Linked DNA regions of Danio rerio. The protein of the gene in region 2 purifies or fractionates together with the protein of the main gene of each other region. This does not show direct contact. Links are inferred from orthologs where the notes say so. Each region holds a gene or a part of one and is shown on either strand. Other genes may lie near its edges. The genes, in order: h2ax and nap1l1.

Region 1 (2,952 bases), on a different chromosome or scaffold from region 2:
GAAGTGAACAGATGTCTACTTTTTACATCAGAGCTTTTTTTCATCTTTAGCTTTTACGTAAACGGAGTAAAAAAAAATGTGTCAAAGTATCCCACATTTCCTTTTATCACTGGAAGAATATTCATGTAATAATCAAAGTACTGAGGTGCTAAGATTTTATGGGTGTTTTAGCACCATGTAAGATTTTTACTGGCAAAATTAGCTGTCTAAGTTCGTGTTAATATTTTATATTTATGTAGCAAGTTGTAAAGTGCCTTCCAAATGTGAAATTGACCAGCTATACTATAGCAATTACTTGGCCAGCAACATTGTGTTGTCAAATCAACATGAGAATGAATTAAAAAATGTGTTATAAATAATAAAGTATATCAACAACCCCCTGATGAGTTCTTTGGTTTTTTGCTGACACTGGAAAACAAGACTCACACTATCGTTCACTCATACATAAAGACTTTTTACATTATGAAAAAGACCAGAGAATTACTTTGCCTTACCTTGTGTTTATGAAAACCTAGTTTCCGTTTTCCAAATTAACTCGTATAAATTAATTATGAGAAAAAAAAAATGTACCGTTAAGAAATAAACACTGAAGTAACGTAAATTCTTAAATTGTGATAACAGTTAGCCTAAATCGGTTCAAAAAACACCAACATTAACATTATTAAAAAATGACAATTTAATAAGCAAAGCATGCATCTCAAAAATACAAGCTATATCACATTCAGACACATGGAAATTGCTCTTTTCAGAAGAGTTGGGTGGCCCTTAAAAGGGCCTTTGGATGAATTAGCTCAGTTCAACATTTAATACTCTTGTGACTGGGAAGATCCCTTCTTTCCAGATTTGCCGGAGCTGGCTGCAGCCTGGCCAGTCTTCTTGGGCAGGAGCACGGCCTGGATGTTGGGCAGAACACCGCCCTGTGCGATGGTCACTCCGCCGAGCAGTTTGTTCAGCTCCTCGTCGTTACGGACGGCCAACTGGAGATGGCGAGGGATGATACGAGTCTTCTTGTTGTCTCTTGCGGCGTTTCCCGCCAACTCGAGGATCTCAGCAGTCAGGTACTCGAGCACGGCGGCCAGATACACGGGGGCACCGGCGCCCACTCGCTCAGCATAGTTGCCTTTACGAAGGAGACGGTGAACACGGCCGACGGGGAACTGAAGACCGGCGCGGGAGCTGCGAGTCTTAGCCTTAGCGCGGGCTTTTCCTCCGGTTTTACCTCTTCCAGACATGTTGAATGGCTTACTTAACTCTTCGCGTGTGCAAGAAATCAGTACATTGGCAGTGAAACTGCTGCAGTATTTAAAGACTGGTTGAACGTTCAAAGCATAGTCCCGCCCACACATTTGATTGGTTGCGCGAAGGGAAGTACAGACCTGATTGGTTGTCGGTGGTGAAACCAGAGCGGATGTAATCCCCCATTGGCTTGAACTTGCAGTGCATAAACAGCGCAAAGTAACGAACCAATCAGAGTGTATCTGAATATGCGAGAGCTGATTGATTCGCTTGGTTCGTCTGCGCTAGTATTGGTCTTTCTTTACCTCAATCACATTTCGGCGGTAAGTTCAAACCAATTGAACATATTCCCTCTGAATTTTAACACAGTTTGACGCAAAACCAATTTTTTCATTTGTTTAACCCTCTCATGTACACTTATTGTGACGTAATATTTTATAGATTTAATTCACTCAATGTAAATGTCTTTAAAATGTGATTTGTATGCGATTTCTTTAAAATGCACAATGAATTAAATCACTTTGTCGTGATGTGACACTAAAGTGATTCAGTGTGCATTTTAGATAAATTCACTTTTAGCTGATTAATAATGGGAAATAAGAAAGGAGGAATGGTTTTTCAAAAATAATTTATTCAGAATAAATTAAACATCAAATGAACAACAATATAAAGCTCCGAATACCTCAGAAGGCCCAGCAGCAGCACCTTCACTTCAGATTGTTCGCTGTCATCACAACATTTTGCTCATACATTTTTCAGGCTTTATGCTCCAAAATGACTATAAAGCGCTGAGCCATTGACTCGTGACCTGCAATTCACTGTATAATTGCTAAAATGCTTTCCTGTAGCTATTATTTTGGTTAGAACACCCTTGCCTTTATTATAAGTTCAGGTTATTTGGAATGAAAAACAAAAGTCTGAGAATTGCATTGAGTCGTATGGGTGGGGAACCCCAGCAGACTATTTTTTAGTTTAATAGGCGTCTAATAGACATCTAAACATAAACAGCTTGGATTAGTCAAAACTACACTAGTCGTCAGATAGACAGACTTTATATATGTAGTCATTAATTTCTGTTTATTTGATGACTAGTCTAGTTTTGGCCTATTTTAGACGTCTACTGGAGTTTCACTGACAGCCCTTTATTTAGCCATGAGGACTGTTTAGACGTCTATTAGACATCTTAAAAAGGGAAGATACTGCGAGAGATTCTTTAAAGGGACAGTTCATCAAAATGATATTTGATTGGGGGTTTCAATCCTGTTTCGTGCAACATGAAGAGTTTAATGCAGATAACCAGCTTCAGTTACCACAGCATCTTTATATCCATCAAATGAAAATGAATGGTGACCACGTTGAGTAGGAGGTTTGAGTATGAACTACTCCTATATTTGACCTTACATTACCAGAAAACAACAAAGCCTCCTGCTTAGTATTACAATAAAAAGCTACCACTAATAAAATCTACTTTATGTATTTGACGTGCAAAAGACCTTTATTGCAGCTCACTTTAAATAAACGCGGTTGTGTGTTACTGGGGCAGCGCCTGTTCGGTTTAAAAAGCCATCTCTGAAAAAAATAAAGCGATGAAACTTATTATACCTTTTATATTAGCCCCTGAGGTTTCACGTGGACCCTGAAAATAGCACTTTCCCACTGCAGATCCAGCCTGATGCATCTCACGAGGTTGTAGATTTACAATAATTCCTGGAATAA
Region 2 (3,835 bases):
ACGCACAGATTCAGAGAAAAAAAAAAAAAGGCAGAATGAGTGTGAAAAATCAAAAACTGACCTTTGTAGGGCAGTGCGTGTATTAAACACAGCCGCTTCAGAGGAGTTTTAGAGGCGAGAACCCAAAATAAGCACAGAAGTGCATTGTGGTATTTATAAAGCAGGGTTAAAGGTCAGAGCGCTCCTGCACTAACAGATGTTCGCTCCGCAAACACTGCGCTCATTCATCCACTGACTGCAGCAGAGATAGATAATCTTCCACTAATGCGTGTACCAGAGATGGCAGTGCATCCACCTTTGCCCTGCAGCACATGATGTTTTACATCAATTATGGGAGGAATATCCATTAAACTAAACATTCAGCGTCTTAAATGAAGTACTAGCCTGTTTTTGGTGCAATTTGGTGCTGAGATGAACCACTGCCAATACAACACAGAATATTACTATTAAGAGACAGATAGTGTTGTATTCTTATTTTAAAAGTGATCAATAACAGCATTATGCATATTCAATCATTATTATAAACTGTACTGAATATCAGCATGTCTAAAAAAAAAAAAAAGGTGGATACACCAGGAAAGACGGCCATCTGGGCTGTGTATATGTGCGCTTAACTATTTGCACAGCGGTTTACACACTATTGTTGAGAGATGAGTGTGTCTGGATGAGTGGAGGTGACCGTTTGAGTTCTGTATGTTGAGATCTCAGTATCAGACACTTATGAGCAGCTCTAACGGACGTCTGGACTCTTACCTTGGGCTCATAGTCTGGATCGTTCTCCTCATCTGCCTCTTCTTCGCCCTCCTGCAAAACAAACACACATCAGTTGGTTTCATTAAAGGGCTTATGATTTATTAGGCATGCTAGGTTAAATAGGCAAGTCACTGGGAGAACAGTGGTTTGTTCTGCAGCCAATCAAAAAGAAAGACTAATATAAGATTGACCACATAATTTAACGTTATATAGTAGTCACCATTTAGAAGTGGATCATGAGATTTAATCAAAGATGTCCTAAAACATTTGTCAAGCCAGAAATGATCCATACGCTGGCTAATTCTGACTTAGTTTTTGTTTAAATGTAGAGAAAAGCAGAGAAATTGTTTTTCTAGGCACTATGAAGCCTATTGGACATCTCTTTATGATCTTTTTGAAGGAGCCAACGCCATTTCCCACCGTCAAACTTGCGAACAGTACAAATAATTTCAGGCTTGACACTATAATTCATGATTATAGGAATTACTCCAGAAGAAAAAAAAAATTAACAGGGAGATTTAAAGGCAATGTTGGACGTGTGTTAAAAAGGATTCATTTTTATTGCAAGTTTAACTTATTATTAATAGTAAAAAAATTGTAATAAAAAAAAAAAACACAGGATTAAAGAAATGGCATATGTCAATGGAGAAGATCACATACATTGTCAAAAAGAAACAAAGTGTGTTTGAAGATATCTGGAGACCTTTTAATAACTTTCTAAAGTACAATGTAAATGTTGACAGTCTACTACAACTAGAACAAGCTTAGGAATATGGGAAGTATCATGGATTAAACACTCAGTAAACACTCTCTACCTGATTTAAACATCCCCTTTTTTATCATATTTATTTGTTGATTTATTTATATTTTATTTATTTATTTAGTTTTTTTTTTTTTTTTTAAGGGAATGGGTTGTTGGGAGGGAGAATGGGGTAAAAAGTTTGCTGTGCCTTCATGATTATTGTTCTGTAATTGTGTAATCGGTTATGATATGCAAATAGAAAAAAATAAACACCAACCTCATCATCCGCTTCCTCTCCCTCCTCATCATACTGAAAAAGAAAAACAGTGTTCAGATTGAGGAATATTGGGCAACTTTTGGTCATTTGGTTTCTTATTTTTTTTCCATTTAACACCATGCCTACTCCTATGGCCATTTTCATGGAGAGAAAAAGTATATTCTATATACATCTAGATTACATTAAGGCTTTACCACTTTAAAAACTAACACTGTGTTTAGGTTAATCAATATAAACAAAGGGAATACAACTTCACAATTCAATAAGAATTTTTACATGAATACTAGATGATTAACAAATAAGGTAAATTCTTTCCACGTCTGCTATTAAAGTACAAAAATGTACGTCAAAGTGCTCTCAGTATAAACACTGACTAGTCGTCTAGTTAGAGGAATGAACAGTTTTATGTGGTCTTGTTCACTCACGTCATCATCGTCATCTTCGATGGCCTCTCCAGTGAAATACAGCACAGCTCTGGGAACGATACGCTCACGGATGAAGTGACCGATCTCGAAATCTGCTGCTAAAACTGCCTCTGAGTCTTCATCCTGAAACAGCATCAACAAACTTTCACTCCTAATATTACTGTGTGACACTCATTTAATACCATTATATACACCAGCATATCTCGATTTCTGCAAGCTGATGTCACAAAACAAGCAATCAAAGAAATTAATTATACAAGTTCATTTTACGGTCAATTTCACACTAAATTAAGCCCCAAGTCAAAATTAAACAGTTTGTTTTATTGCGCATTTGGATATTAAGTTTAGAAGTAGGAAGATCCACTCACCAGCTCACCGCTTTCTGGAACTGCAAAAAAATTAAATAAATACAGTCAAGTAAGGAAAAACACTCATACGAAAGATTAGCTCTACATTAGTGGAAACATGATTTTTTCATTAGTATTTGCACTGGCTTTAACAACATTCATCCTGAATTACTGACATCCTTATTTTTTATACTTGGAAGCAACTTAAACTTTCAGATTATCTGCAATTTATAAAATCAACTAAATCTACTCATTTTAAAAGCATAAATTAATTAGTGCTGGGGAAAGATTACAACTAATTACACCAAAAAAATTGTGGTTATATATCCATCATGCATGGATTTCTATAAAAATACGTACATTTAATATTACTAAATATAAACAAACATTCATTTAAATATATGCATGCATGTGCATTTAGATATACAGTACACGTACGGTCAAAAAAAAACTTTAGTTTTGGGTGCAATTAATATTTGCCCAGCACTAAAATCAACAACAGCTGTAATAAACAGCACTTATTTACTGCTCTTCTCTAGAGTGTATATTGATTTTATATTACTTTTACATGCATGACACCACACCTCCACAAAATATATATGGTACTATTAGTAAAACATGGCACAGTAATACGAGAACTCACTGTTTTGTGTTAAGTGTAGTGCAAAAAAAAAAATAAGTCTTGAAAGTGCCTACAGCCATTGACATGTATTCTATAAACCAGCTAAAGTCAACAAAAACTAACATCTAATGCTTCACAGATCAAAATCCTCTTGAATCGAGGGTGAGGTAAACGGGTTGTAAATTTTCAACGCATGTAAAATGATGTACCTTCAGGCGGAGAGAAGAAGTTGAAGAATGAATCGTTGGGAACCGTCTTGGTGACCGTCCTCACTGTGCCACGACCCTTGTGCTTCTGTTTCTTCTTGATGGTTTTCAATGTGACGTTCTTGCCTTTAGTCCAGTCGATCGTGCAGCTGAAACCCAAAATCACTCAACTCAGACTCTATACTGAAGAGCTCAGTGAAAACTACTGCCGAGCACTATCTAAATTATTAATATTGAAAATGTGCATGTCGGGATTTACAACCGAGGGCAGAATCACTAGCCCACGGCCCATGAAATTATTATTTATTGAACATTTCAGATTTAGAACTATATACACAAAGCTCTAGATCAAACCAACAGAAGAGTAAATAAAAACCTTAATGGTGCTCAAAATTAGCATTGAAGCATGTCTGATACTCAAAGATCCAATTCCTGTTGCCATTTGTTATTAATGCATGAACAA

What was found.
Region 1: the proteins of nap1l1 (region 2) and h2ax purify together in Homo sapiens (affinity purification with mass spectrometry; 3 studies listed by BioGRID and IntAct, counting the BioPlex papers as one, with this or other methods). This does not show direct contact. The link is inferred for Danio rerio from reciprocal best matches to the Homo sapiens genes NAP1L1 and H2AX.

The regions. Positions count from the first base shown.
Region 1 is NC_133180.1:31,151,391-31,154,342, forward strand, and holds h2ax (histone H2AX), read right to left. Parts: upstream 1,276-2,952; 5' UTR 1,233-1,275; coding exon 804-1,232; 3' UTR 659-803; downstream 1-658. UniProt on the Homo sapiens protein: Variant histone H2A which replaces conventional H2A in a subset of nucleosomes. Nucleosomes wrap and compact DNA into chromatin, limiting DNA accessibility to the cellular machineries which require DNA as a template.
Region 2 is NC_133179.1:2,689,755-2,693,589, forward strand, and holds part of nap1l1 (nucleosome assembly protein 1-like 1), read right to left. Parts: intron 3,522-3,835; coding exon 3,376-3,521; intron 2,586-3,375; coding exon 2,566-2,585; intron 2,321-2,565; coding exon 2,198-2,320; intron 1,806-2,197; coding exon 1,773-1,805; intron 805-1,772; coding exon 754-804; intron 1-753. UniProt on the Homo sapiens protein: Histone chaperone that plays a role in the nuclear import of H2A-H2B and nucleosome assembly.